Linked DNA regions of Diceros bicornis minor. The protein of the gene in region 1 purifies or fractionates together with the protein of each later gene. This does not show direct contact. Links are inferred from orthologs where the notes say so. Each region holds a gene or a part of one and is shown on either strand. Other genes may lie near its edges. The genes, in order: SOST and LRP5.

What was found.
Region 2: the proteins of SOST (region 1) and LRP5 purify together in Homo sapiens (affinity purification with mass spectrometry; 3 studies listed by BioGRID and IntAct, counting the BioPlex papers as one, with this or other methods). This does not show direct contact. The link is inferred for Diceros bicornis minor from reciprocal best matches to the Homo sapiens genes SOST and LRP5.

What each region holds. Positions count from the first base shown.
Region 1 is NC_080757.1:42,469,541-42,485,241, forward strand, and holds SOST (sclerostin), read right to left. Parts: upstream 7,892-15,701; 5' UTR 7,756-7,891; coding exon 7,536-7,755; intron 4,771-7,535; coding exon 4,349-4,770; downstream 1-4,348. UniProt on the Homo sapiens protein: Negative regulator of bone growth that acts through inhibition of Wnt signaling and bone formation.
Region 2 is NC_080770.1:5,619,501-5,635,335, reverse strand, and holds the start of LRP5 (low-density lipoprotein receptor-related protein 5), read left to right. Parts: upstream 1-7,850; 5' UTR 7,851-7,935; coding exon 7,936-7,999; intron 8,000-15,835. UniProt on the Homo sapiens protein: Acts as a coreceptor with members of the frizzled family of seven-transmembrane spanning receptors to transduce signal by Wnt proteins.

The DNA.
Region 1 (15,701 bases):
CCCATCTAGCCATGAAAGGAACTTCAGCTATTGGTCAAAGCCGCCAGAGACCTGAGCCTTTGCCTGCCTTTGGACAAGGGAGAAGACAGAGGATGGTCCAGGAAGTGGGAGGATGGGGGGGTGGAGGAGGGGTGGGCAGGACTACGCCGTCCCCAGAGCTAGAATCAGTGATCAGGACTTAGAAACCAGGGCAGGCCTGTGTCGGGGAACAAGTGGGAGGCGGGCGGGTGTGGGACACGGCACCAGCTTTCAGCTGCTGCGTCTCTGAGCTCGGCTGACGCGGGTAGCTTTTGCAGGCTCTCCACCCCCCGCCCCCCGCAGCTGCCCGAGTCCTGCCTACTTCAAGGACAGCAGGGAAGGTTGGATTCCTGTGGCTTCTTTGAGTTTCTTTTGCTCTACCTCCTCTTGCAAAAGTGGCCTGATGCATACTTGCAGTGTAGATAGAGACTCATGGAGAGTGTGTGTGTGTGTGTGTGTGTGTGTGTGTGTGAGAGCGGTAGAGAGAGAGAGACCTATTTCCCTCTGCCCCTCTATCTGTCTGACTCTCAGACTATTAACACAAGCCCGTCCTGGCTGCACCCCTGAATGTGTGCTTCCCGCAGCACACTGCCCCTCCCAGCTGAGCCTCCTGGCTGGTCCGCTTCTGATTGGCGCCAGGCTCATAGACCCCATGTAGGTAGAATATAACTTTCCATAAATAACCCTTAGCCTGACCTACAATTTAGCCTTTGGGTTTTTTCCCCTCGTGGTAATGGGATTGTAGCCTGGGCTGAGCCCTCCTGGATCTCTGGGTCTCAGAAAGCAGACCCTAGGGGCCGGCCCCGTGGCTTAGCAGGTAAGTGGGCGCACTCCACTACTGGCGGCCCGGGTTGGGATCCTGGGCGCGCACCGACCCACCACTTCTCTGGCCATGCTGAGGCGGCGTCCCACGTACAGCAACTAGAAGGATGTGCAACTATGACATACAGCTATCTACTGGGGCTTTGGGGAGAACAAGGGGAGAAAAGGAGGATTGGCAATAGATGTTAGCTCAGGGCCAGTCTTCCTCAGAGAAAAGAGGAGGATTGGCATGGATGTTAGCTCAGGGCTGATCTTCCTCACACACAAATAAAAGGAAAGCAGACCCTAGGTATAGCTGGTGTTGGGGCATTGCTTGGAATTCCTGGTTCCCCAACACTGCCTGGCGCAGGCAAAGACTCAGTACACGTTGACGAAGGGTGCTGGATCGAGTCTTATCCCCCAACGAACAGCCATGCGCCTTCAGCCTCAGTGCCTTTGCCTAGAATACCTGTGCCCCCTTCTCCACCTGGCCAGCCTCTAAGCAGCACCCGCCTCTGTGAAACCTTCGCTAACCTTTATCCCTCATCCCCACCACAGAATGAATTATTCTCATCCTTAGTCCCATAACACTTTGTACAGAACAATGTGACCTATTTGCCTACGTGCCCACCAGGCTCTGAGCAGCTCGAGTGAGTGTCAGGGCTGGGAACTGAGCCCACCCCTGGCTGCGGACAAAACATTTAACCCCTTGGTGCCTCAGATCAAACACAAACATGGCTCCAGGGCCCATGTCCCAGCCACTGTAGCACATTGCCTCCGGGGGCTGGACAATGTATCCATTTCCTACCCACTCTCCTGTTCCAAGCTCTGGGACACTCCTCACAATGCACGGATTCCTTGCAGGGTCTCACTGAGGCCACCTCGGAGCTGGAGGCAGCAACACCCACTGACACCTCTCAAAGACTTGATGATGGTAATAAATTTATGACGGTTCATTGGGAATTACAGTGGAAAGTCATCTGGGAGGACTTCAGCTTACTTTGGGGGGTGAGGAGGGCTCTTGGGGTGCGGTTACCCCAAGATGGGATGGACTTGATTTAAAACTTTGCTATTGATCATCCCTCCTTATGGCAACAGAAGAGTAGTTCTTGAGTCTCAGCTAGCGTCCGGCACTATGTGGCACCTTAGGTGGTAAGACTTTGAGAGAAGTGCCAGACATTGTCCCTGCTTGCGACGAGCTTACACCTTCACCAGGGAGGCATGAAACTCACGTTGAGAAAAAAGCTTGACTGAGCTCCCCGTGAGCTGGTCCTGAATTGTACTGGGCTCAGTGTCTATCCTGGTACTAAGCAGGACTTGGCCAGGTGAGACAAAGTGATCCAAGAATGAACGTCAAACGTAAGACAGAGACTCAGGGATCAAAGCAGTGGCATGGATAAAAGGGGCTGCACATCCAAGGAGAGAGGGATCAGCGGGATTGGAACATTTCTGGAAGATTCAGGGAAGAGGTGACAAGAAACATGAACCCCCCAAAAAGAGCAGGAGTTGTTGTGGGTGGTCAGTGGGGACAGCAAACCAAGGAGGCAGGGAGCAGTACAGCAGTACAGCCTGTGGCCACTTGGAGTCAGTACGGAAGCTTCGTGGGGGGGGCGGGGGATGGGAGTCAAGCAGGGGAAGGTCTTACATGTCAGACTGAGAAGCCCGAACTTGATCCTGGGCAAGAAGGAGCTGTTGAAGGATCTTGAGCAGGGGTATGCACGATGAGAACAACGATTTTAGAAGACAGCATGAAGGGCAGGCTGCTCAAGGGAGAGCAGGCTGAGGTGATTACAATGGCCAGGCAATGAGGAATGAGGTCCAGGTTTGGAAAGGAAGGGACAAACATGACTTTTCAAAGGAAAGACTGCCACAAGGGCCACCATAGCACAAAGTACGTCCAAGGTTGTAGCCCTAGTGACCAAGAGAAGGATGTTCACTTTGACAGAAATGACTGTGTGTGGTTGACAAAATGAGACCACATCCTCTCCATAACGATCCATTGTCTTTATTAACAATGCCTCTGGATTCTGAAGGAACAGACTGGTATTTCATAAAGCAATATTAACATTGTCATTCTCTACAAGAAAAACTTTTGCATAAATAACTTAAGTGAGAAAATAAATATGTAACTTAACTCTTTTTAAAAACTACTACTTTCATTCTTGCGGACAAATCCCACATGAAAGGACTACAAAAATGACCAGCCCAGCAGGCTTTCACACGGCATGTGCTTCTGTTTAGCAAAAAAAAAACTTTTAACAATTAAAAACTACACAGAAAGTAAGAGGTGCCTGGAAATGATTTTCAAAAAGATGTTTGGATGGCAGCTATTAGGTTTTGCAGTTTCTCAGCATATGTACAGCACTTGTCATTTTTTCCCCAGTAATATTATTTTAATGTAAGAAATGCCATCACATGTACCAGCAGGAAGAAGCTATTTTCTGGACAGAAATGTGTCAGTGGATGGAAGGCAGGAGGAGGTACCTCAGAAGGGATCTGCTGGCTGCTCCCTTGGGCCTGCAAACCCAGTGTCCTGGGACCCTGAGCTTCTCTACAGAAGGTGACTTTAAAATATGGCCATGGCAGGGGTGGGGTGGCGGGCTGCTCTTTGGGAATAGAGGGGTGATTTCTGTCCCTCCTGCCACCCTTGGGACCTTCTCCTTCTCTATCCCAATTGATGGTGTTGTTTCTGCATCCTTTCAGATGGAGCAGTGGAGGTAGCCAAACATCTGGGGAGGCCAGGCTGGGAAACAACACCGCATCCTTGGAGAGTCTGTCAGCTTTAAATAGATTCGTTTCTTTTTTCTTGCTTGTTTTTCATCTCTGGCTGCCAGATCAGAGGATTACAACTCAGAATTCTGGAATTCAATCCAACCTCTCTCTCTCCCTGCCCATGTAAAGGGCACTCGAGTCTTTGCGATCAGACGCCAGTAGATTCCTCGAGATCCTAATTCCATTCCCTACCTCCATTTTACAGAAGAAATCGAGGTCCAGAAAGAGAAGAGGGTAGCCACCCGGCAAGTTAGGGGCAGAGCTAGGACTAGAAGCCCCGTCTACGGACCCCAGTCCTGTGTTCTTGGCACAACGCGGCACTAAAGGCTTCACGACGGGCAGAGAAGTAGAGGGGGAATCTTATGGAACTTTCTTAACCGGTCCTCGGCCTTTTCTCACTCCCCACTACTCCCTTAAAACCCGGTGAAATGCTTCCCTTTCTGCCTCCTTCGAAGTGGGACCAGCCAAGGTAGGCGGCCCCGGTGGGCGGGGCTGCGTGGCTCAGTGTCTGTGACTCTCAGCTCCCTCCCCGGCCTGCGGGACCCCTTAAGCGGGCGGGGAGAGGGGGGCTTTGCAGGCACCCAGGATCCGCAGGGCCTAGCTACCTCCTGCCGAAGCCAGGAAGGTCTCGGCCCCCTGCCCTGGGTTGCAGGCATTTAAAAGGAAATACAAACAATCAAACCGCGCGCGGAGGGCAGGAACCTGGGGCGCCTGGGTCTGGGGCGCCGGCTGGGGAGGCGCGGCGGGCGGGCTGGCTCTAATAGGCGTTCTCCAGCTCGGCCTGGTTGGCTTTGGCGCCCCGCGCGCCGGGCCGCGGCTTCCGACCCTTCTGCGGCCGCGCGGCCTCGGGCCCGAAGTCCTTGAGCTCGGACTGGTTGTGGAAGCGGGTGAGGCGCTTGCACTTGCACGAGGCCACCAGGCGCACCTTGCGCGCGCGCGGCGCCGCGCCGCCTGGGCACTGCAGCTGCACCCGCTGCGCGCGGTAGCGGTCGGGGATGCAGCGGAAGTCGGGCCCGCTCGGGCGCCACCACTTGCCGCGGCCGATGGCGTTGGGCAGCAGGCGCGCCGGGCCGCACTGGCCCGAGCACACCAGCTCGGTGACCGGCTTGGCGCTGCGGCACGGCCCGTCGGTCACGTAGCGGGTGAAGTGCAGCTCGCGGCAGCTGTACTCGGACGCGTCTGCGGAGAGAGGCGCGCGTGAGGGCGACGGCCAGGCCCAGCCCCCGATCCCCGCCCGGCCAGGCTCCCTCCACGCCACTCCCGCGTTTTCCAAACCTGCCTCTCTCCAGACGCTCTTGCCCCTGGGAGTTATTATGGGAAGGGCCCAGGGACTCTGGGGCTGGTGGAAAGCCCCACCCTGACCCTGACCCACCCTCTCCCCCTAATTCTTTGGAGCCAGTGACTGCTGTGGTTCAAACACCAACTCCATCACTGCGTGATCTTGGGCAAGTTACTTAACCTCTCTGTGCTTCCTATCTGTAAAATGGGTTGTCTTGAGTATTCAGTGAGTTAACCCATTACATAGATAATGCAGGGGACGCCACTAGGCGCGTGGTAAGAACTGAAAGTGTTGGCTATTGTTATGTGTTGTTATTATTCGTCTCTAAGGGGGCCCTCTTCACCAGACTGAAGTCACACCTGTGCCACAGGGTCCCTAGCCATGGAGGGTAGGTGGTAGCCACACCCTCTGCATGGCTCTGGCTTCTCCCAAATTTCTTTTCCAGCCACTTGGGAGGGGTGGAGAGGGGATGGAGACAGGAGTAGGGGTTAATTGGAGGTAATAAGTCAGGGCAGCTGCTGGGAGGAGAGGGCTGGAAGGGGAGGTGGAGAGAAGTCTTTCGACTTGAAAGGAACCAAAGGCAGCCTGTCAGACCCCCTCATTATCACTGAGGACACTGAGGCCCAGAGAGGGAGAAGGGCTGGCTCAAACGGCAGACCTGGGTCTCCTGACTCCACTTCCCTGGCGCCCCGGAACCTCTCAGCTCCCACAAGGGTGGAAGCTGTGTGCCTGATCACCCATGGGAGGCTAGGCTGGGGGAGGGGCGAAGGGCTGCTTTTTACTACAGTTACTTCCCTACCAGAGGAGGACCAAGCTTGGACTGAAAACCTACAGTTTCGGCTGCCACAAACATTAAGCACTTGCTGTGTACCAGGCACTCTGCTGGGCCATTTGATGGACAGGCTTGCTCCCTGGGTCCGGGGAGATTGGGCTCTGAGGCCTGGCTTGGTCCCCCCAAGACATCTTGATCATGTTTCCTACTGTGGGCTTAGTCTGCTGGGAGCCTTTTAAAGAGCTGGTCCTCATGTGAGCGCCTGTCTACCCCCAAGGGTCTCATGGGGACAGTTACCATGTGACACGAAGGGGTGAAAATAGTCCTAAGAGCAAAACCAGAGAGGGGGCAGAGAAGGCCAGGCCCCCACCCCCAGGCGCTGGAGGACAAGCACAGCAGGGGAGTTGTGGGGTTTGCCTTCCTTCCCTGGCTGGCCTTCTGGTTTCTGGGCTAGTTTGGCATCCTCACCCCTGCTCCCAGGCTGTGGTGTGTGGGAGTGACCTGTTTGCCCAGGGAAGGAGGCAGTTTGGGTCTTTCCAAGAATAGTGACCCTAGGTCAGGTGCTTCCTCTGCAGAGGGTGACTTTGTTTTGAGCACGTGGCTTCATTGGGGCTTGTGCCTCTCATGGGAGCCCAGGGAGGTGGATGTCTTGTACTTGAGTCCCCTACAGCCCACTGCTGGAGCTTGGTGAACTTGCCTGGGGGAGAGCGGGGGAGGGGCCTCCTGCTCTCCCGTTTTGAAGACCTGAGGTCCTCCAGCCTCTCTGGGGTTGCCCTTTGCAGAGCCCCACATTCCCAGGTGGTCGTGAGGCGGGGAGGGATGGGATGCAGGAGCCTGGGCAGTGGACTCCTCTCCCACCTGGACAATGGCCAGAGGGCAGTGAGGCCCTCACTCTGAAGTGTCATTCCAGTCCCTGCCCCCAGCCATTCCTGCCAGCTGCAGAGCCAGCTGTGCACACTGCCTCCCAGGCTCCTGTGTGCAGACCTGAGCAGGAACCCAGCTGTGCCCTCCACCGGGGCCACTGCCTTTTCACTAGGGCCAGGCTCCCTCCCCAGGAATGAGGCAAGGCTGGGTCTGGGTTGGGGACTCAGGACAGACAATGCCACCTGTGTCCACTCCCTGCACAGAGGATGCTGCCTCTTCTCCAGGCCCTGGACCCAGCTGCCACCTAGGTCAGAGGCTAAAACTGTGCCTACAACCCCCGTTCCTTCAAGTGCCGGCTCACTGGGCAGACCGTGGGCAGGGGGGCCAACGGGGAGCCTTTCTGGCGTCCCTTTCCCACTTCTCTGCGAGGATTTGCTCTGGCTCTTGGTCCCCAACACCCCCACACAATCCCCCCACCAGAGTTGTCTTGGAATTGGCTCAAATTGGGTTCAAATCTCAGCTCTTCTACTCACTACCAAGTTAGTCTCTGGAGCCTCGGTTTCTTCACCTCAAACTGGGAGTTCCCCTCATGGGGCTCCCACACTGTGGGTCTCTGGGGACAGGACAGGCACGGCGGCGTAGTGTCTGGCTTCCAGCAGGTGCTCAGATGACAGGCTCCCTTGCCTTGTCCCCTCCCCAGTGGTGCCAGCAGCTGGACCTGTACTCCTCTATTCTCAGGAGGGGATTCTTTGAAACCTTTTTTCAGAGCCCCTGAGCCTGTCCCAGTGCTGTACCCTCACCACCTGAGCCTCCTTGCTGCCCCGGGCTCTCACTGCCAGCCTCCTGCCAGCCTCACGCCCCTGCACTCCAGTTCCAAGGCTACACTGGCATGCCATCCTTCCCCTGCCTCCAGGCAAGACTGTCCCTCCACCGGTGCTGGCAGTGGCTGACAGTCTACCCCAGTCTTCAAAACCTCCCACAGAGAACCCACCAGGACCCATGTGCTACAGAGTCTCTCCTCCCCCGTACCTTTGGTCTCAAAGGGGTGGTGGGGAGGCCTCCCTCCGTTCTCCGCCCGGTTCATGGTCTTGTTGTTCTCTGGCTCTGGGGGAGGCTCGGGGTACTCGCCCAGCTCAGGGATGATTTCCGTGGCATCGTTCTTGAAGGCCTGCCACCCCTGGCCCTCCACCACGTGGAAGGCTGCGTGGACCAGCAGGCAGACGAGACACAGGGCGAAAGAGAGCTGCATGGTGCCAACCGTAGGAGAGCACCCAGCCTTCCAGGAGCACAGGCTCTGGTCCCCAGCCCGGACACGGTTGCCTTTTTAAAGCCCCCTCTGCCTCATGCCAGCCAATGAGGACAGGCTGGGGCAGGGCTGGTCCCATGCTTCCCTCAGCCCAGGGGGAGGGAACAGGCTGTGCTCCGAGCAAGCCCTCTCCAAAGACTTCTTCTCAAGCCCAGAAAACTCCCAAATTGCTGCTGGTGCTCCCAGGTGACCCAGGGAGAGCAGGGCGTGTGGGGCAAGCCTGCCCTCCAACACCTCCCACGTGCAGGCGGCTGTGGTTTTCGGATATCAAATGAGTTCCGGCTCTTCATCTCTACCTCCCTGGGTCCCTCGGGCTTTCTCAAAACAAACTGTGGACCAGCTGAACACAGAAAACTGCAGCTCTGGGTCCTCCACAGGGCTGAGCCCAGCCAATCCCATTTCTCAGGCCAAATGCATTTGTCATCGCACCAATAAATGGCCCTAGGGGTGTATATTTGGCCCCCACAGACCCAGACAGAGGCAAAAGGATGCTTTTTAAGAAATCTCATCGGGTTAGCTCAGGGCCGGTCTTCCTCAGCAAAAAGAGGAGGATTGGCATGGATGTTAGCTCAGGGCTGATCTTCCTCACAAAAAAATAAAAAAAGAAGAAAAGAAAAGAAATCTCATTGGTCCCAACTCCATGAGGCTCAGCATTATCCTGACCAAGAAAGCCCTTCTTGACATCCTCTGGAAGGCAAGAGAGAAAACTGGGGGGGGGGGGGGGGGGGGGTCACACTGAACATGCCTGCTTGGGTGAGGGGCAGGGACTCTGGTGACAAGGCCGGGATGAGCAAGTCAGCAGGCTCTGGCGATGAGCTCGAGGAAACCTCAGCTCATGCTCCTCGGGGATCCTGCACACGGTGACAGGCACTTTATGGCCAGGACACCCTAGGGCTTGCAGGCTGATGTGCCAAAGGCAGTTATTTCCCCAGCCGGGCTGTGGGTAGGAGTGGGGAGCACAAAATCCCTTTTCTTAGCAAAAGCCAGGGCCAACATTTTTAGTGCTGAGATTTTTTTTTTTTCTTGTCTCCCAGCCCACCACAGTTTTCAAAAGCAGCTTTGAGTGCTAGATGGAAAAGCTTATTGGTGCAAGTCACGGGCTGCATTCCATGAAGCCATCGCAGGTCCAGCTAGCCACAAAGAAACGAGAAGGAATTGCTACCTCAGCCCTGGAGCAGAATGAGGGGCCTTGAAGAGGGAGAGGCACGGGGCAGGAAGGTTCACACCTGAGGTGCAGGAAAAGAAAGGAGGGCCAGCGGAAGCTTTCATCCAAAACGGATTGTTTGAGGAGCCGCGCCCACTCCTGGCCCTGAAGGGAGGCTGGGAAGAGGGCTGTGGCCTAGGTCTCCTTGGTATTTCCACTGGGCCATGAATCAGTACGCCCCACCTGCAGAGCCTCTGCCAGGCTTTTGCCACCTGCCTCGACTTGTAGGTCGCTGTGTCCATCTGCGGCCGTCTGTCCCTCCTTCTTTCCATCATCCATCACTCGACACATGAATGCAGCTGCTCTGACAGTTTTACAAGCCAGACAGAAGCCTCTGCAGGAAGGGCCCTCTCTGATACCTGCTTCCTATGTCAGTTTCCTTCAGGGCAGACGAAAACAGCTGTGGCCATTGTTGGGGGTGATCTATCTCTCCCAACAGAGCCGGTGTATTGTGAGAAGCTGGCCCTCTGTGCCCCCTCCCCTTGTCTGTGACCCTCCAGCCTCCTTTCTCCTTGCTCTGGAATGTGGACCGTTAACCCCGTCGTGGCTGCACAACTGCCTTCTGGGCCTGGACTTCAGAGAGGGCAGTTCTGACGCCTGGATTCCTTGAGCTGGCGCGATTGATGCTGGAGCCCCACCTGCTGTTGGGAGCCAGCCCATCCACATGAACCCCGCGACTGTGAGGGCCATCTTTGGAACATTTCTGCCACCTGCTGGAGAAGGAAGGAGGAGCCAGCGACCGAAGGATGGAGAGGCTCAGTATTGCTTTATTTCGTATCATTACTTTATTTGAAACTGAAGTAATGTTAAGAGAAAAAAGAGAAGAATCCAATGGACTTGAACCTCTAAATTATCTCCTTCTTTTTTAATTATTCTCTGCCAATGTATAGCCATGCTTTTTACAGAAGGGCTCAGAGAGAACATGCTATGATACCATCTGCTTTTTCACTTAACGCTAATTCAGCTTTCTATTTACTCAGTCCACAAGCTTGTCGTTGTTCAGAGCTAGACACTATTCCCCAGGGTTAAACCCCCAGGGTTTTAGCAGACTTCTGTTGTAGGTAGTTTAGGTTTTAGCATTTCCAATGCTCCCTTATCCTCAGTAGGGATGCTATGAACATCCTTGTACAAAGTAATTTTTTGAATTAAACTTTTTGTTTTGGGATCTTTGTAAATTTGCATACACTTGTAAGAAATAATACAGAGAAAATTCCGTATACCCTTTACCCAGTTTCTCTCAAGTAACATCTTGCAAAACTATAGGACAATATCACAGCCAGGATCTGGACATGGATACAATCCCCCAATCAAATTGAGAGTACCATTTTAGCTGTACTCGTGTGTGTGTGTGTTTAGTTCTATACAACTTTATCACATGTGTGGGGTCAAGTGTCCACCATCACGGCCAAGATGAAGAACAACTTGTGATCAAAAAGATCCCTCTCGTGGTCCTTTTATACCCACACCCACCCTCCCCAAGCCCTCCCTCTTCACCCCTAACCCATGGTACCACTAACCTGTTTTCCATTTCTATAATTTTGTCATTTTGAAAATGTTATATAAATGGAATCAACCAGTACGTAAGCTTTGAGAATTGGCTTTCCTCACTCATAATTCTCTGGAGATTCATCCAAGTTTTGCATGTATCAACAATTTGTTGCTTTTTATTGCTGAGTAGTATTCTACCAAGTAATTTTTTTTTAACTTTAGGGTTATTTCCGGAAGCAAATGCTGGGTCTGAGAGGGTGAATGATTTTGCTACATATTGCAGGGTTGTTCTCCAGAAAACCCAGTCATTTCCTCAGTCCCACCAGCGACATACAAGTGGGCACGTGCATTAGCTTGTGAGGGCTGCTGAAACAGATACCACAAACTTGGGGCTTAAACAACAGAAATGTATTGTCTCACAGTTCGGGAGGCTGGAAGTCTGAGATCAGAGTGTTGGCAGGGTTGGTTCCTTCTGAGGGCTGTGAGGAAGAGTCTGTTTTGTGCGTCTCCCCTAGCCTCTGATGGTTTGCTGGCATCCTTGGCATTCCTGAGCTTGTAGAAGCTTCACCTCGATCTCTGTCTTCATGTTCACATGAGTTCTCCCGGTGTGCGTCTGTGTCCTCATTCCCCCTTTTTATAAGGATGTCGGTCACAGTGGATTAGGGCCCACCCTAATGACCTCATCTTAACTAATTACATCTACAAGGACCCTACTTCCAAATAAGGTCCCATTCTGAGGTACCAGGGCTTAGGATTCAACATATGACTTGTGGAGGGACACAATTCCATCCATAACAGCATGTTTCTCCACAAAGCTGCCAACACACCGGGTTTGAGCTGTTAACATTTTTTAAATTGAATTTAGTAATTTAATAGTTGTACCTTAACTCCTAGTGAAGTTGTTTTTCTGTGTGATTATTTACTGGCTTCTACCAAGCTGCCTATCCACTTGCCAAACATTTAATGAAGCAAGGCCTCCCACCAGGCTTCCAGGAGCTCCTGTACCAGAGAAGTAATAAGTTCTCCACCCAAATAACTCCAATAGCACGTAGAAAGTGATTGGTACCACTAAGAAATGGTTCAGATGTGTTTTTTTAAAAGGACAAAGTGTTCTGGGCCTTAGGAGGAGAGAATAATTTCTTCCTTGCTGAGGTGGACTTGGCATCCTCACGGGAAGACGTAGCATTTGGACCAGACTTTGAAGGACAGGCCAAATTTGGCAAGTAAGTTATGCTCCTTGGACCTCTTAGGATCACAGAATCTTTGATCTGAAAGGAACCTCAAATGTCACCTAGTTTCACTGTCTACTTGGTTCTCAAGCTCCCTGACTCTAATTCATGGAAACTGAGGATTCTCCTTATTGGCTCCATTTTTAAACAGATTTTGCTTCCACAGGTCAGTGGTAAAAATGGAGTCTCTGGGGGCCGGCCCCATGGCCTACTGGTTAAGTTCAGTGCGCTCTGTTTCGGCGGCTGGGGTTCAGATCCTGAGCACGGACCTACACCACTCATTGACGGCCATGCTGTGGCAGCAACCCACATACAAAATAGAGGAAGATTGGCACAGATGTTAGCTAGGGCAGATCTTCCTCAAGCAGAAAAACAACAACAAAAAATGGAGTCTCTGACTTTGGAGAGCAATTTCTGCAGGTCATTTCCTGCATTGAGGGAGGTCCACGTCACCCTGTCTCTATTCAAGCTGAGAACTTGTTCTCTGTAGAGTTCGGGGTCTCAGCACAGGGGAAACGCCCTCCTTGTTCATTCAGCAGCTTCCGAGGGACAAGGGGGAGAGGAGCTCCAACGAGCTTTGTCACTCACCCTCCTGCCTAGAATAGGCGAATGGCTCCCCCGGCCCTAACAGGATAACCTTCCACTTCCTTCTGCCTGGCAGACCATGCCCTTCAAGGTGGGGCCCTGACTCATCCCCAGCACCTCCCCAACTGCCATTCAATTCAAACTACCACCCTCTGCCTGCAGAGCCCCTGTCTGCAAACTCTTGTTAAAGAACAAGGTATTTATGATGCTTGTTAAAAATGGTAAAGAAAACTTTATTCAAGGGAGTACTGTGGTGAGAGGTATAGGGCCACTGCAATGGGCTCTTGCAGTGGGGGAGAGAGATTGGGCTCCACGCCGAATACGAGGTAAAGTGGGGTCTATAGCCAAGGAGCAGGGAGGGGGGCAGTGAATGAAAAATTACTAAGAGGAAGTATTAGGGGTAAGGGTGATTTTGGCTACCCCAACCTAAGAGGATTCTTGGTGAAGGCAGGCCAGGGTGGTCAGACTTCACCTGGGGGGTCATGGGGGATGAGGAACCCAAATAGACATTGAGGGTGATCAGATATGGAGGGTGGAGGATTCTTACTAAAATTGAATAATACAGAGAGGAACAAGGAAACCCAAAAGTCGAGGCCCAGTTGAAAAAAGCTCAGAGGAGCCTAACAAAGGTTTGGCCCAAGAGAGGCTCTTTGTCACCGTGTGTGTCTGGAGACTGTCTTCTCCCTCCAGAACCCGGCTGCACCTGCCCCCCACTCTTCTTTCTCCATTTCAACACCTCCCTCCCTCTTCTCTCTGCCCTCCTTCCTCTCAGGGTGGCCGCTCAAGGCCTCTGTCCTCTGGGGACATTAAAGTGGAAGGTCATCTAGTTCATGGGCTTTCAAACTAGGTTTCTCCGAACCCCAGGTTTCCACAGAGATAGCTCACGGTTTAAAAAATAAGTACATTTTCGTTATTTAAAAATACACACACATTAATCAAATGTGTTACGCATCTACTTTCAATGAACTAGAGACCACTCATTCATTCAGTGCTGCCTCCAGGGTAATTCATTTTAGCGTAGACCTCAGAAACTGAATCTCCGTGCATTTGAACTCCTTATAAATGCGTCAATTCAGAAGGCCATAGCTTGGAGACTGTCTTTTTAAAAAGTTAGGCTTGGGCATGTCCACCCCCATAAAATGACACAAGCGAGCACAGGACACTCCTTCGCTCTGAGTATTGGGATGGGCTTGACACTGTGCCACCACAACAGATGACAGAAAGTAACAGGATACAAGGCAGATAAAAAATTGCAACTGTCATCTGTAAGTCTCATTTCAACATTCTGTGCTCATGAAAGCAGCTCAGGGCCGGCCCCGTGGCTTAGCGGTTAAGTGCGCGCGCTCTACTGCTGGCGACTCAGGTTCGGATCCCGGGCATGCACCGAGGCACCACTTCTCCAGCCATGCTGAGGCCATGTCCCACATACAGCAACTAGAAGGATGTGCAGCTATGACATACAACTGTCTACTGGGGCTTTGGGGAAAAAATAAATAAAATTAAATTTAAAAAAAAAAAAAAAAAGCAGCTCAGACCTTTAAAATAAAAGTATACAGAAATCCCAGTCCATCCACACACAATGGAATGCTACATAGCTGTTAAAAGGAATGGGGCAGAACTATAAGAAACAGTGGGTAAAAGATGTTGTCAAGCAAAAAAAGCAAAGTGCAGGGGGCCGGCCCGGTGGCGCAAGCGGTTAAGTGCGCGCGCTCCGCTGCGGCGGCCCGGGGTTCGCTGGTTTGGATCCCGGGCGCGCACCGACGCACTGCTTGGTAAGCCATGCTGTGGCGGCGTCCCATATAAAGTGGAGGAAGATGGGCACCGATGTTAGCCCAGGGCTGTCTTCCTCAGCAAAAAAAAGAGGAGGATTGGCGGATGTTAGCTCAGGGCTGATCTCCTCACAAAAAAAAAAAAAAAAAAGCAAAGTGCAGAACATTTTCCACTTATAGAGAAAAAGATCTCTCTGTGTATACACACATATACATATGTGTGTGCTTACATACATGTCAGATGTTTCTAGAAGGATATACTTTATAGCGGCTTCTTCTGGGGAGAGGGATTAAAGGTTTGGGGTAGAGGATTCACTCTTTGTTATAAGCCTTTTGTATTGTTTGAATTTATTACTATGTATATACAGTATTACATTTTTAATTAAAATGTTTTCAAAATTATACTTTAAAAACACTTTTTACCAGTTTCACATATCAGTGCTCTGCCTTAAGATTTTGTGTAAAAATATGAAGATTATATTGCAAAGAGGTTTGACAAATACTGAGCTAGTCTAACCACCTCACGCTACACATCGGGAACTGGAAACGAGAGAAGCTCTTTTTCTGCCCAGATTTTTTCTGTGTGGGAGAAAAGGCACCCAACTTGCTCTGCGTTTTTTATTTATAGGAAAAAGGCAATGCTCATCATAAGGGAGATAGTGCTAACAGTGGAATTTAAGGCATCTGGGGGCAGGGGTATGACCTGGGACTGCCTGTTTGCAGAACCACTCAAATCCTAATGCCACTCGATCATCTTCATGTGAGTCCACCTTGAGACTGTCACCCCAACCCCCTGCTTTCTTAGGAACTTAAATCATACCTCCGTCATTTGGAGTGGGCCTCTCTACTTAAGAATGTTCCAGTCAATTATACCTCAATAAAGCTGAAATTAAGATAAATAAAAATAGAAGAATAGAATAGAATACTCCTAACACAAGAAATTTCTGGCACTGGAGAGAAGTTCAACGAACATCCACTGCATAAATATAATTGTCGTGGAACCTACAACTAGCTCAGGAGGGCTAATTTTTAAATGATGATTATTTTGCAAAGTTAGAAAATGCAGACATAAGAGCTAAGCATAAAAGCATAAAAGAAAATCAACTATGATAAGAACAAAAAAAGACCATATCTTTGTAATGTAAGACATTTATTTTGGTTACAGTTTTAGTGTTTTAACACTGACTTGTGATACAACAGATGTTAAACTTACTTTTTTTTAAAACCAATTTGATACCGTCCCCTTTTCTGTCCAGAAAATTCACACTTTCATAATCAAATTACCCTAAAAGCTGACAAGAGGTAAGTTAAACTTCCAACCAATGTGCTCTCTCAGCCAGAGATGGCCTCTATTTTCAATCAGGATAAAATCTTGACTTGGAAGGACGATCATTGTTGGCTCTTCAGTGATTCGTGACACCGGTTTTGTGACAAAGAAAGTTTCCTGCGAGAAAAGCTCATATCTTCATATTATCAGATCAGTGCTTCCTTCGATTAAAACATTAGCATCTTAGCATTAACTTGACACAGAAGGCACAAACCATCCATCACCACGGGTGGAACACAGCGTCACCTGCTGGTCATCATATTTTTACACATCCTATAATTTCCAGG
Region 2 (15,835 bases), on another chromosome or scaffold:
CATTTTCCAACTGTGTGACCCTGGGCAGGTGCCATGTCTGTCCTGAGCCGTGGTCTCTCTCTTGAGATGGAGTTAAGACAGGACTTTCTGCCTTGGTTTTGTCTGATATTGAAGGCCTAAAACAAAATAATACATGCCATCCTGCCGGGGGCTCCAAGCTTTAGGGGGCCCCCACTGCACCCCCCAGCCCACCCATGCCCACGGGTGACATGCTCCCTGATGCCCCCCACACCTGCCCCTGTACTTGGACCCCGAATTTTCTACCCAAACAGTACAGAGCCGGAGTCACAGGCTGTGCAGGCACCTCCCCCAGACCTACCCTTCCCCGGGAGACCTCACCTGGGGCAGAAGTCCAGGGAGGTCCCGGGCTGGGTCTCCTGTCACCTCGCCCCGGCACAGAGGAGTCCAAAAAGTCTAGATGGCATTGCCTCCCTGGGGTTATGAGGTGTATTTGTCCAGCCAGCGGGATAGAACACTCCTTACTCTGCAATCTGTGGGCTGATGTATAACTTTTTTTTTTTACAGTGACCACCCATAATTTTATTACATAGCTTCAAAATTTATTAAGATTTTGCCACATTTGCCAGAAATATAAATATTGAAAGTACGTTGCAGACAATTTGGAGCTTCTGCATTAAATGGTTTGAAGAGAGCTCCTAAGAAGATTCTCTTATGTAAACGGGATAGTTTTGTCACATCTGAAAAAATACTCCTAATTCTTAATATCATTAGAGTTATTTTTTTAAGCAGTTTTTTTTAAAAGATCAATCGGCATATCTCTTTTGTCTCTTTTTATGCAGAAAAATCCCTCCACCTTTTTTTAAAGGGCACTGCTGTGTTGAACAGTGGTTAAAACTTTCAAGTGGCAGGCATGCTGCTGGGTCTGCTTCGCTCTTTCATCCTGGGTCACCCACTCGCCTGAGGTGAGGGCCCTGTAGGAGGGAGCCTGGTTCTGCAGCCCCAGGGTGACCCACTCGCCCCAGTGTGCCTGGAACCTTCCCAGATTTAGCCCTGAAAGTCCCATGTCCTAGGAACTCTCGGTTGCAGGCACACCGGAGTGGTCGGTCACCCTATGGCCCACGGCCCACCTTGAGAGTATAAAAGAGGGGTACGTGGAGTGAGAGAGAGAGGCTCCAAGGTGCATCCGCCTCATCTCGAGACTGAGAAGGAGGCTTTGAGGAACTAGGGGGGCTAATGTCCCCAGAGCTGGGGTCTGGATGGCGGACAACAGGTGTGTCTGGTGATTGCTCTGCGCCTGATACGTTATTGGTCAAGGCTGTGGCTGCCTGGCCAGCCGTGGAACTGGACAGGTGGCCGTGATTCCTGGATGGTTGGGCCAAGGCGTGTGTCACAGGGGTCAGGCGCCCTCTGAGAAATACCCAAGTGACCACAAAGAGCCCCAGAGAGAAAGAATCCACATCTGGAACCCCCGAACCTACAGGTTTTTGTGTGTGTGTGTGAGGAAGATCAGCCCTGAGCTGACATCTGTTGCCAATCCTCCTCTTTTTTGCTGAGGAAGACCGGCCCTCAGCTAACATCTGTGCCCATCTTCCTCCACTTTATATGGGATGCCGCCACAGCATGGCTTGACAAGCAGTGCATGGGTGTGCGCCCAGGATCAGAACCTGCAAACCCTGGGCCGCTGAAGCGGAGCGCACGCACTTCACCTCTGCGCCGCCGGGCCGGCCCAGAACCTACAGGTTTTGAGCAGTCTGGGTCACAGGGGCGCCGGTCTCCCCGGCTCCTTTCCGTACCCTCTGTCCCTCCCTCCCCCCAGCTCTGGCCTTGAGGAGCAGAGCAGAGGCCAAGCTGGCCTCCCCCCTGTGGCTCCCCTGCCCACTCAGTTGGGCTGGAGCGGGGGAAAAGCTGGGACTCTGAATAAACTTTAGGTCTGATCATTAAACCAGAACTGGAATTGCAGCTCCTCATCTGAGGCTGTTCTTGGGACTGGAAGGGCCCCGAGGACTTCATTGCCCCTGAAGGTGACCAGAGAGGCATGGCAGCCACCCAGTGTCCATCCAGGTGCACTGACCGCGGGGCCTTCTGCCTCAGCCCTGTGGAGTCTTGCATGTTCAACCAAGTGCCTAGCATATGCTCGGCCCTCGGAATAGCCAGGTGCACGCGAGCCACTGCGTGTTTCCAAACAGCTCTCCTCAGGGTCCCGGGCCACCGGCCGCTCGCTAGGTCCAGTGGACAGTCTCCACCCCCATGCCACTCGTCGGACAGCCGCCCCCTCTTGGCCCTGCCCCTCCACTCACTCTCTGCCCTGGGTCCCGGGAGCCACGCTGCCCTGCTCCTCCTCACCTCTGAGCCTGCAGGGCCCCAGCGCGCAGCCCTCAAACCCCTTCCTTCAGAGCTGCTCCTGCGGGATCACGGCCTTAATCCTGAAGATTCCCGCATTTCTATGCCAGCCCAGCCCTCTTCCCCAACCCCGGACGCTGCCCACTCTATTCCTCCACTGGGAAATCTAATAGGATATCGGCCAGACAAGTTCAAGGGGGACTCCACCCCCACCCCCGGGGTCTCCTCCCTTTCATTCATCAATTCTTACATCTCAGTGCATGGCAGCCCCCACCTTCCAGGCGCTAGGGCCAAACACTCCGACATCACCCTCGACTCTTCCTTCTCTCACCCTTGACCTTACCCTCCGCATCCTCTCTACCCTCAGAGAGATCCAGAATCCAACCACTTCTCACCATCTCTGCTGCTGCCATCTGGTCACCCTGAACTTGGACCACAGCAATGGCCCCTCATCTGGCCTCCTTGGTTCCTCTCCCGTCCCCTCTATTTCCCACACAGTAGCAGAGAGATTCTGTAAAATGGAAATCAAATCCCATGCTCCTGGCCCTCCAAGGGTCCCCCCATCTCTCTCGCTCAGAGGAGATGGCCTCCACGGCTCTGCAGAGCTGGCCTGCTCCTCTCTGTACTTGGCTGTCTCTGCTACAGCCCCTCTGGCCCCTCACTGCACCTCAGGGCCTTTGCACGGGCCTTCCCTGCTGGCTGCAAGGCTCCCTCCCTCCCTTCTTCCAGGTTCCTGGATAAATGTCCCCTTCCTAGTGAGGCCTTCCTCACCCCCTGACCCTCTTATGCTGCTTTATTTTTTCTAGAACAGGTGTCACCATCTGACCCCCTAGAGCAGGGATGGGTGAATGTTTCTGTACAGGGCCGGATAGCAAATATTTTAGGCTTCACAGGCACACAGTCTCTGTTGCAACTACTCAATTTGACCGTTATAGTGTGACAACAGTCAGAGACGATACCCTGGACAAGCGCTCACCTCTCTGACCTCAGTTTCCTTCCCTGTAAAATGGGTTGTGAAGATTAGGGATTGTGTTAGTTTCCTGGGGCTGCCGTTAACAAATCACCACAAACCAGACAGCTTAAACAGCCAAAATTGATTCTCTCCCAGTCTGGAGGCCAGAGGGCTGAAATCAAGGGGTCAGCAGGGCCGTGCTCCCTCCAGGGGCTCTTGGGAGGCTCCTTCCTGCCTCTTCCAGCTTCTGGGGGCCCCTTGGCTCCTGGTGCATCCCTCCGATCTCTGTCTCATCTTCACACCGCCTTCTCCGCCTCTTGTGTCTGTCTCAAATCTCCTTCCGTCTTTCTTTTATAAGGACAATTGTCATTGGATTTAGGGTCCTCCCAGATAATCCAGGACGATCTCATCTTAAGATCCTTAACTTAATTACATCTGCAAAGACCATTTTTCCAAATAAATTAAGATTCACAGGTTTCCAGAATTAGAATGTGGATTCTAACCTTTTTTGGGCCACAATTCAACCTACTTCAGGTGTCTTTAAGGCGCTTAGAAAGGAAAATGAAACCTGAATGTCAACTCCTTAATCTGCAGTGAAAATAAAACTGCTAAGTGGACCCGACACTTGTGTGGCTCTGTCTAGAACATTCTCCCCAAGGACGCAGGTTACACAGCAAGCCACGTCACCAGGAGGGTCGAAGCTCAGGACTGCAGAGACTGAGGCGTGGATGACCACTATCAGAGGAGGGGCCTGGCTGGGCCATGCTCATGCCCTGTCTTGGGTCCATGTAATCACCATTCACATTAATGCAGCGCGTTAAAGTATAAAGTGCATTTTTACAAGTCTTATCTTATTTGAGGTTCACACCAGCACCGAGAGATAAGAAGTGGAGCAAACACCATTGTTCCCATTTTTATGAATGAGGAAACAGAGGCTCAGAGAGGTGAAGCCCAGCCTGTGTCCCTCACACCCCAGCTATCTCCATGGAGACTGTGGCCAGCTACTAACTAAGCTTTCCACTGCCCACCACCCTGCGCCGACGGCCGCCTTCTCTAGCCTGCTCCTGGTGCGGATGCCGGGAGGTGGTGCGCTTGCAGCGGGGAGGCCCTGGGGATCTGAGGGATAGGCCGGTCAGTGGATGTTCGCATCGCGCGCCTCCACCGAGCTGCCCTCGTGAGGATGCTCGTGGCTTAGAGAGCCCAACCCTGCGGGAGCCCAAGGCACACCTCTGACCACAGCCGCCAGGCCTGCCCGGCGGGGGGGTTCTCGTGCCCAGAATAACTCTCCAGAGTCAGCATGTTCCAACTGGGGAGAGAAACCAAAAAGGCACTTTTCCCCAAGTGTTACAAGGCTGAGATGTTATCCTCAGATGGGCCCTAAATGGACTCCGGTTGAGCCTCTGTCCCCGGAAACGATTAGATCCAGCAGGTGCCAATCCCCCGTGACTTCACTGGGTTGGAACTTGCATCAGAGGAATAAATGGAGAGCGAACAATTCCAAACACGAGGCCGAAGAAGAGTTCGGTGGCATGGTGAGCTGTGACAGGCAGCCTTCTGGGGAAGTGGAAGCTTAGCACATTCTCTGGTTGCTTCTTACATTAGTGAAAAGTCTAAAAATTACCGCCCTTGTGATGCCAGAATTCTGCAGGATAAAATGGTGATTAGTTCTCATTGGTTCTTTGCAAACAGCTTTTCTCAAAGTTCTGATCGGCATCAGGCAACTTGGGATCTCGCTCTGATGCCTCAAGACCTGGGGCACAGTCCCTTTCCTTTCGAGGAGCCTCCGGTGGCCCCTCCACAATGGATATCCCAAGAGTTGGCACAGGAAAGCCCAGGGCACCCCAGGAGCTGCTACCAGCCTCCCCCCACCCCCTGACTTAACTGGCCTCTTCTATATATACCGAATTCTCCCATTCAAGAGTCAAGCGTTCCGTCTCCCTCCTTGAGAATACAGAATCCCAATGTCTGTCTGTTTGTTTGCTTATATCTCGGTTCATTTTCCTTTCCGTCATTTGCATCACTGAGTGTAGGGTCTTCAGCTTCTCCGGATCCCTTCTCAGATTTAGAACTTTGGACCAGCTGCTGTAATAAGTGTCCACTAGCAAAGCCCCTACTGCAGGCCACCCTGGATCCCCTTCCCCTCATCCCCACAGCCAGCGCCCTTAGCAAGTCCCATTAGCTCGTCCTAAAGCATCCGGAATCCAGCCCCTTCTCACCATTCATGAGCCCCCCACCCCTGCCAGTCCAGGTGGCCGTCTCCCCTGGCTGCTACCGTGGTACCCACTTGCTGACCAGCCCCCACATCCCCTCTTCCCTCCTGACAGTCCTGTCCCCACTCAGCAGCCAGAGTGCTCCTTTTATGAATGTAAATCAGATCTTTTCACTTCAGTCATTCATTCAACAAACATTTATGGAGTACCTACCATGTGCCAGGCCCTGTCTAGCCTCAAGGGATCCACAGGGAACAAAGCGCTGAAGTCTCTGTTCTCATGGAGCTTCCATTCCAGTGGAGGGAAGAAAGATAAGTAAACAGTTTGTCAGATGGCGGTCTGTGCAAAGAAGAAAGGTAAAGCGGAAAAATGGAGCCAGAGGTGCCGGCAAGGGTGGAGGGGGGCTGGTTTGCAATTTTCATAGGGGGTCAGGCAAGGCTGGATGAGGAGCTGAAGGTGTGAGGGAGTGAACCATGTGGATAATGGGGTAAAAGAGTTCCAGCAGAGAGACCAGCAAGTGCAAAGGGCCTGAGGCAGAGTGTGCTGGTGTGTTTGAGGACCAGCGAGGAGGCCATTGTGGCTTAGTAGGGTGAGGGAGAGTCCAGAAGGAGGTTGGAGAGATAAAGGGAGAGGTGCGGCCAGATCAGGCGCTGTAGGTGCCATATGGCCTTTGGCTTCTATTCTGACAGATATGGGAGCCATAGCAGGTTCTTGAGCAGAGGAGGGGTGTGATCTGACTTGTTTTAACAGGCTCACTCTGGCTGCTGTGAGATCAGGCTGAAGGGGTTCAAGGCCAGAAGCAGGAGACCCATCAGGGGGTGAGAGGCGACCCAAACTGGGGTAGTGGTAGTGGAGGTGTGAGAAGAGCCGGGAATCTGCGTCTGTTTTGAAAGTGGAGCCAACAGGATGTGCTACTGGGCTTGGGCACGGGTGTAAGAGAAGAATCAGCGGAGATTTTGCTATTCAAATCCCTACGATGGCTTCCATTGCTCCTGGGATAAATTCTCGACTCCTCTTTGGGGTCTGACATGCGCTGGCCCCAGCTGGCTTCTTCTGCTGCTCGGTGGTGGTGGCTCACACGTCCCTTCCTGCCTCAGTCAGAATTCCCCCAGACACTGCAGCCCGACACCCTCCAGTTTTCCCAGCATTCCTCACAGTCTGTTAATGGCGTATGCACATATATATTTTTAATTTATCTGTCTTCTTTTGGTCTCCTTCCCTAGAGCAAACCCCAGGAGGACAGAGACGCTCTGTGTGACCACTAGCTTTGTAAAGTTGTCACAAATGCATGAAGAACGCACGTATCCGGTTGTTCATCTGTCGCCGCCAGTTCTCTGCACCTGCAAGGTAGGCATCGCTATCCCTATTTTAAAAGGGAGGAAAGTGGGCCGAGAGGGGTTATATCGAACCCAAGGGCACACCTGCTTCTGGGAAGCAGCAGAGCCTGAGTTCGAACTCGAGACCACAGGTCCAGAGCCGTTGCCGTGGCCCCTGGCAGCCCCTCCTGTGCCCTCAGAGTGCAGGGCTGAGCTTGAGGCTCAGGGGGGCACAGAGCGGGGAGGATGGGGGACGCCCAGCGCCTGCCTGTCGAATGAGTGCAAGGCGAGGTCTGCGCTCCTAGGGGGCCTTTTTCCCCCAGCCCGCCCAGAAGCATATTGGGAAGAACGCAGCGTGTACTGCCCGGTCTCCGTGCACCACAATTAACGTAGGGGGCAGACATTTAGTTTAAAAATAAAACCTCAAGCCCATCCCCACTCCCAGCCCGTGCCGCTCCCGCCCCTCTCCATCATCCGCTTCTGTCCCTGCCCCGGCATCGCCTCGCGGTCGCCCTTCGCTGCCCTCCCCAGCGCCCCTCACCGGCGAGAACAGGTGTCGCGGGGCCGCCCCGACGGGCCCCTGCCGGGGGTGGCTGCGCTCGCAGGACGGCGCACAGACCTGGCTCCGAGCCCCTGGCTTCCAGCCCCAAAACTGCCTTTCTGTGTGCCCTCGGGCCACCCCTCTTCCCTCGCCCCGCCCCCGTGCCTCAGTTTCCCCATCGGTAAAGGCCGGGTCCCGGCAGCTCTACAGGTGACACACCTGCTTCCGGGACTTGCTCAGTCCCCGGGCCCCGCGGGGTGGAAAGCCGGCGCCCGACCCCGCGCCCCCGAGGGGCCCCAGAGCGGCCCCTCGGGGGCGGCGCGGGGCGCGGGCAGGGCCGTGGGGAGCCGGCGCGGCGGCCGCCTGGCCCGGGGCCGGCTCCGGGGGGCGCCCGCGGGAGGGCGCGGCCGGCGCGGGGGGCGCGGGCGGGCTGCGGCGGCGGGGGGCGGAGACGCGGCGCGGCTTCCGCTCCCGCGCCCTCCTCCCTCCTCCCCCGTCGTCCTGGTCCGCGGCGCCCGAGGGGGGAGGCGGCAGGCGCCGGGAGCCGCGCGAGGAGCCGCCGGCGCGCCATGGAGCCCGAGTGAGCGCGCGCGGGCCCGGCCGGCCCCGGACAACATGGAGGCGGCGCCGCCCCGGCTGCTGCTGCTCGCGCTCTGTTGCAGCCTGGCCCCCGCCGCGGGTAGGTGGGCGCGGGCCGGAGGGACAATGGCCCGGGCGCCCGGGCGGCCCCGCGGCCAAGTGCGCGGCGCCGCCTCGGAAGCGACTTGGCAAGTTGGGGGCGAGTTGGGGCGCGCACCGCGGGTCCCCGCCGCCCCCCGCCGCCCGGGGGCCGCGCGCCGGCCCTTTGTCTCGCCCGCCCGGGCCCCTCCCGGGAACACCGGGGCCCGTCCCGCGTCCCGGGCGGGCGAGCAGGGCGCGCGGGCGGCGCCGACCCCGCCAGGTGCGGCGCGGGCGGGTCCTCACCTGCCCGGGCCCGGGGCGCGCTCGGAGGTGCGCCCGCGGGAAGCCGGCCGGGCGAGGCCGTGCCGGGCCCGTGCGGACCCCGGCCCGCGGGCAGGCACAGAGCGGGGCCGTTCGGCCCGGAGACAGGCCTGGCCGCCCTGCGTCGGGGACTCTCCGGCGAGCCTGTTTCCGATGGCCGCGCGGCCGGCCTGCGAGCTCCGAGAACTGATTGAAGTTGCAGAGAAAGTTCTGAGACCGGGCGCCGGGCGGCCTGGCCTGTCGCGCGGCCCCCTTTGCTCGGCGTGGCTGTCGGTTTCCAAACGGACTGACACCTGCCAGGTGGCAGGACGACCCGTCTGGCCGCCGGGGCCCCGCACAGTGGCGGCCGAGGGGTCGGTGTCCACCCCGGGGGCCGGTGCGTGGGGCCGCCGCGCGGGGTGACGTGGTCCCGGAGCGCGGCGCGGCAGGGAAGCGTGCTCGGCTCTCGGCTGTGCACACCCTGTGGGAGGTCGGGGGCTGGGGACCTTTCTCTCCGACTTTTGGTGTGTCCCGAGGGGTGGAGTTGAGGTCAGGAGGACTCGGGAAACCTAAGCGCCTTATGAAACGCTACACATGTTCTTTTAATTTGGAGATTGCCATGTGGTTTTTGAAGCCAGTCTGTCCTACCTAAAGCCTTCTCTTCGGACGTGAGTGTTTTGTTTTTCTGGAGTGTGGCTGGCCAAGGGGACGCGACCAGCGAGTCCTGTGCTCTCCGGGCTGCTATTCTGCTGGTGGCAGTTTGGGGGCGGGGGGGGGTCCCTCGGGTCCCTTTGTCTGGGCCTCTTTAAGGCAAACAGCTGTCTCCCTGAATATTTCCAGTGTGGACTTCGCAGGGAGGTGTCCTGGCCTGGCTCTGGTGGCATTCCCAGTGCCTGGGCCCCTCCATTGAGGTTTGGGGGGCTAGAGAAGGGGGTGTTTCCCCAAGTCTGCCAACCTCCCAGCCCAAGCCCGGAGACTGTTGGTGGTTTCACCCCAAATTTGTCTTTCTCAGGAACGTGTTTACATTTCTCAGCCATGTCTGATACCAGCAAAATGAGGTGACGGCAGAACAATGACAGTATCTGGGTAGTCCAGGCCAACGCTGCTCCTTTTCTTTCCGGAAATGCCTGGATCACGGAGGCAAAAGGGTTTTTTTTGGGAAGATGTTTGTTTTAAAGGTGGGGTTTCTCAGCCGGCTACGTTGCCTTTCACTTTGTTGCAGTTTTGAGTTTCCTCTACCTTTTGGGGCGACTTTGCTGGAATCGAACGCCCGTTGGTGTGCGGTTCGAGCCCGGACAGAGTCACATCTGTGGAGTTCAGTTGTATGTGAGGCAAAAATAGAGTTGATTATTTTAACATTAGGGAGTATGTCAACACGAGGTTTGCAGAGCACTGGTTAACGTGGTAATCCAGTCCTAAAATGGACGGAAGGGGAGGAATCTTTCTGCAGAGCGATTTTTGACTGTTCTCCGTTTGTGATATCCCGCATTTCTATGTTAGATTTATGCCTTGGTCCGGAGTGGAGCCAGTAAGCTGGTAGCTAATTATTTTTCCTGATTGCTTCCTGTTGCAATTTGAAGCTGTGAGCCCACGGAAATGCCTTTGTTCTTGTGGCCCCCGTCATGGGAATGGCCTTCCCCAGACCCACGGCCCGGGCTTCTCCCCTCTGGCCCCACAGCACTTGCTCCAGGACGGCCTTTCCAGGGCCCCCCGCAGGGTGGTTACTGCAGATGCTCACTGCGAGGTGCACCAGGAGGGCCCAGCAGGTGGGTGTTAACTAAATTCTGCATGGAGTCCACTGAGGGAGTCCCCCCAGAGGACCTTCTGCTTTTTAAAGCAGAGCCCACATGCCTTTCACCCTCCCGCTCAGATCCAAGAATTCACCCTGTCAACCCGGATGATCCAACATTTGCCGTGGAGATCCCGTTGTAGTTGGAACCCGTTTAATTTCAGCGGCACTGTGTCACCGCTCAGGCATTTAGCAGCATTTGCACGCTGGGGTGGGGGGTGCAGTCAGGTGAGGACTCAGCATGGCTTCCTGCCCTGAGGTGTGGGCTTGCCAGGCCTGAGAGCCAGGGCTTTGGGCTCAGACTGTTCTCCGTTTGTGATGTGACAGAAAGCCCAGGTTTACATGCTCAGTAGCTGTTTGACTTCGGCTGACTGACTTAGCTTCTCTGTGTCCGGTGTCATCCCCTGGTCCCCCCCACCCTAGGCAGTTGGAAGAGTTAAATGTGTGTGCAATCCTCAGCACCATCCCTGTCCTGGGCGAGGGACTGGTGGTGGCCGAGCTGCGAGGCCTGTTGTGTAACGGGGTCCTTGATCTTTCTGGGCTGGAAGGTCTAGAAGCCGTTACCGCTCAGTCTGGATGATTTCCTCGGCGTGCGACCTTGGATGTTTAGTGCGCTGTCTGACTCGTTTATTGCTGCAGCACCACATGGAGGCCCTCGGGGTGATGAACGTTGTGGGCAGGGCCCGAGTGTCCGGGGTCTAATCCCAGCCTTGCCGGTTGCCATGTGGGGGAGCTTGGGCAACTTGCTCCACCTTCGTGTGCCTTGGGTTTCTCTTCTGTAAAATGGGGGTAATAATACTTAATACCACTAATTCAGGGAGTTAATACACACCCAGCACTGTATCAGCTCTTATTCTCGTTGCTGTTACTCTTTGGCGCCTGGTACTGTGTGAAGTGCTGGGGATAGAACGAGACAGGACGGATGGAACGGCAGATCCGGCTGGGCCTTTGCTGTCGGGAGGGTCCGTGTGGAGGGAAGCAGGCAAACAGAAGCCGGCTGAGCAGCTGTGGGAGAGGCAGACCCGGGGGCTCTCTCTCACAGTCCTGGAGCCCCGTCCTCAAGGGCCGGGTGGTCTCCTCTGCTGAAAAAGGCCAGATCACACTGCAGAGTCTGGATGTGATCCAGAAGGCGATGGAAGCTTCTGGAAGACTTAAGTCGGGGGCAGGAGGGTGGATAGGAAATGCAGGCTGGAGTCAGGTCTGTACTAGGTGAAAGGTGCTGAACTGATCTTTATTTTTCTTTTGATTAAGGTGAAAATCACATAATATAAAATGAACCATTTTTTTATTTTTTATTTTTTGTGAGGAAGATCAGCCCTGAGCTAACATCCATCCTAATCCTCCTCTTTTTGCTGAGGAAGACCGGCTCTTAGCTAATATCCATTGCCAATCCTCCTCCTTTTTTTCCTCAAAGCCCCAGTAGATAGCTGTGTGTCATAGCTGCACATCCTTCTAGTTGCTGTATGTGGGACGCGGCCTCAGCATGGCCGGAGAAGCGGTGCGTCAGTGCGCACCCGGGATCCGAACCCGGGCAGCCAGCAGCGGAGTGCGCGCACTTAACCGCTAAGCCACGGGGCTGGTCCTAAAATGAACCATTTTAAAGTACACGATTCAGTGGCACTTAGAACATTCACGATGTTGTGCAGCTTCCATTTCCATCAAGTTACAGATCGTTTCTATCACCCAAAAATAAAACTCCGTGCCGTTAAACAATAACTTCCCATTTCCCCTGCCCCCAGCCCCTGGCAGCCACCAGTCTGCTTTCTGTCTCTATGGAGTTGCCTGTTCTGGACATTTCATATACGTGGACTCATACGACACGTGGCCTTTTCTGTCTGGCTTCCTCACTCAGCTTAATGTTTTCGAGGTGCGTCCACACTGGTGGAGCAGTGGTGTCTGCTCCGAGACAGGCCGCCCTGCGGGGCCGTCCTGGGGACAGCGCAGGTCCAAGTGCTGATGTGCGGAGGCAGCTGCAGCCGCACAGACAGGGCCCCAGGGTCCCGCCCGCTGCTCCAGGCTGCTCTCTTTAGCTCTGGAAAGCGGTTTGCCAGCTCTCAGTCTCAGTTTCCCCGTCCTCAAAATTGGGACGATGCATCTGCCTTGCAGGGCACTGGATGGGGTTCAGTGAACCAGTGTCTGGGAGGAGGACACGGGGGCCCTTTCCTCCAGGGCCAGGTTCGCTTTTAAAAGATCCCGATCACCCTCGTCCAGCTGGGGGCCGGGAGTGGTGTAAGATGTTGGGGCTCTGTGTTTGGCGCTGGTTTGCCCCCAGGAGTGGCGGGCAGCCCTGAGCTGGACTGGAGCTCCAAGCGGGAGCAGACCTGGCCGCTGACCCTTCCCCTGGCAAGGGGGAGTCCACGAGGCTGTGTGCTGACTAGGGAGTGCCCTTGCCCACATCTGTCCTGCCTGTTCTCGGGCCCTGAGCAGCCCCGCTATCTGTGCGCCTCCCAGCCCAGCCTTTGCCCCCACCTGGCTGGGGACAGTTGACACTCCGCTGGCCCACCTATGGGCTCACCTGCCCGGTGAGGCTTTGCCTTGCACTCTCGTGGTGGCAGCAGCCGCGTGGCGCTGGAACCTCAGGTTCTGACCGAGTCTGTGCCCAGAATCACGTGTCCACTGTTCTGTGTCCCCCTTGCTCAGGATCTCTCTTGCCTTGGACCCCCTGGGAGGTTGTCACGGTGACGTCAGAATGACCTGTTTTTCCCACTTTTAAGTGTGCGACTCAGTGGCATTATTTACATTCACAGTGTTGTGCAACCGTCACCACTGTCTATTTCGAAAATTTGTTTATTACCCCAAACAGAAACTGTACCCATTAAGCAGTCACTTTCTCTCTACTTTCTGTGTCTATGAATTTTCCCATTCTAAGGACCTCATATTTGTGGAGTCATGCAATATTTGACCTTTTGTGTCTGGCTTATTTCATTTAGCATAATGTTTTTGAGGTTCATCCAAGTTGTAGCATGTATCGGAACTCCATTCTTTTTTACTGCTGAATAATATTCCTTTGTATGGAGAGAGCATGTTTTGCTTATCCGTTCATCTGTTGGTGGACACTTGGGTTGTTTCCACCTCTGGATATTGTGAATGATGCTGCTGTGAACATTGGTGGGCAGGTATCTGTTTAAGACCCAGCTTTCACTTTTGGGGCTATACCCAGAAGTGGAATTGCTGGATCATATGGTATTTCTATGTTTAATATTTTGAGGAACCATCAGACTGTCTTCCACAGTAGCCGAACCATTTTACCTTCACATCAGCAATGCACGAGAGTTCCAGTTTCTCCACATCCTGGCCAGCCCTTCCCATTTTCCCTTTTTATGGTTCTAACCCTCCTAGCAGGTGTGAAGCGGTACCCCATTGTGGTTTTGACTTGCGTTTTCCTGATGGTTAATGACATTGAGCATCTTTATAAGTGCTCGTTGACTGCTTTCTTTTACAAATATATATATATTTAAATGCAAGACACACGTGTAAACAGCTTAAACATGTTCCATGGTACCTCTGTCTGTGAAGACGGGCCTCCTCCTTTATTGCCTAGTTTATTTCTCCCCTCAGAGATGACCAGGCCTTTAACACGTATTTTAACGTGTTACATTTTTTTGAACACATCCTCATGTTTTTTATATAAATCCCATCACTCTCGATCATTCTATAGTCTGTCTTTTTCACTTGCTAATGTATCAGAAACATTTTCTGTATCTTTACTTTTAGATCTTCATTCTTTTTAAAAGCCAAGTATTTCGTCGTATGGGTGTATCATACTTCTTGGCTTTTACTCAGTTGGGGAGCATTTAAGTTTTTCCAGGCATTACTGCTATTACAAGGTGTGCTTCAGTGAGCGCCCTTGCTCATGCGTATCTACGCACGTGTGTGCAAGCATTTCTGTGAGACACGTTCCTCGTCAGAGTATGTCCATTTATAAGTTTTCAAAGATACCGATAAATTCCTCCGAAAAGTCTGCATCAGTTTGTACCCTCCCAGGCCTCTGTGAGAGTACGTGCGTTCCTGTATCCTCTCCAACACTGGCGATTACCAGGTTCTATTTTTTGTAATCAGTTTGATTAAAAATTATAACACCTTTTGGGCCAGCCCCGTGGCTTAGCGGTTAAGTGTGCGCGCTACGCTGCTGGCGGCCCAGCTTCGGATCCCGGGCGCGCACCGCCGCACCGCTTCTCCGGCCATGCTGAGGCCGTGTCCCACGTGCAGCAACTAGAAGGATGTGCAACTATGACATGCAGCTATCTACTGGGGCTTTGGGGAAAAATAAATAAATAAATAAAAATTAAAAAAAAAATTATAACACCTTTTGATTTGCACTTCCCTCATTACTGGTTGATTGGCCATTTGTATTTATTTTTCTGCAGATTGCCTACTCTCATCCTTAGCCCGTTTTTCTGTTGAGTTATCTTTTTCTTATTGATTTGTAGGAGCTCTTTATTTGGTGTGGACATTAATTTTTTTGTTATATTTGTTCCAGATTTTTCTTCTGGTCTTTAACTAGTCCTTCATCCTTGTTTCTGGTGGTTTACTATTATAAAGATGTTAAAAAGTTTCATGTAGCCAAAGTTCCCAGTCTTTTCTCATGGCTCTGGGTTCTGTCCCTTGTTTCTCTACCCTCAGATTTTTAAATACATCTTCCTTTATTTTCTTCCAGGACTGTTATTGTTTTGTGTTTTTTTTGTTTTTTTTTTTGTGAGGAGATCAGCCCTGTGCTAACATCCGCCAATCCTCCTCTTTTTTTGCCGAGGAAGACGGCCCTGGGCTAACATCCGTGCCCATCCTCCTCCACTTTATATGGGACGCCACCACAGCATGGCTTGCCAAAGCAGTGCGTCAGTGTGTGTCCGGGATCCGAACCAGCGAACCCCGGGCCGCCGCAGCGGAGCGCGCGCACCCAACCGCTTGCGCCACCGGGCCGGCCCCTGTTTTGTGTTTTATATTCAGATATTATTCTATCTGATGTTTTTGGGGGCGGTATATGGTTTGAGGTAGGGATCTGAACTGTCCCTGGTACCCCCCTCCCTGCCCCCATAAGTGGATAGGGAGTTGTCCCAACACCTTGAGGGAATGGCCCATCCTATCCCCATTCATTTCAAATGCCACTCTTTTGTGTTCAGTGTCCACAGATGCTTGGCTCCTTATTCTAGAACCTTCCACCCTGCTCTGTTGACCTGCGGGTGTCTTTCTGCACCAGCATGCTGTTGTTTTAATCTCTGTATCTTCATAGTATATTTTAAGATTGATTGTGCAATTCTTCCTTCATTGTTCTTGTTAAAAAATTGTGTTGACTCTTCTCGTACATTTAAAACTTCAGAGTCAGCCGTCAGGTTCCATCCTTTGATCTCTTGATCCAGGACATTAAATGGTGACCTTCAACAGGTGGCAGAGGGCTGGACTTTAGAAGTGGTCTCTGACAGGCAAGCTGGTCTCTGGCTGTGGAAATAAATTTGTCTGCTGCCGCGATGGAGCTGGTCTTCACCTTTTTGCTTTCTGTTTGCACGTGGAGTGCTTCAGAGGTAATGTTTGTGCTGGATCGCCCCAGTGTTGTGCTTCCTCACTCACGCTGGCATCTGCTGGGGAAACCAGCTCTAATGCAGCTAATTCCAGCATTAGCCCAAAGACAAATATAATTACCGCATAAATTATCGCTCCCCTCCCCTAGTTTGTTCCAGAACAAAATGTGAGCAACTTTAATTTCTTCCCTGGGCTGCACTCCTCTATTAGCCCAGATGGGGAGGCGGTACCTGCCGAACAAAATGCTCA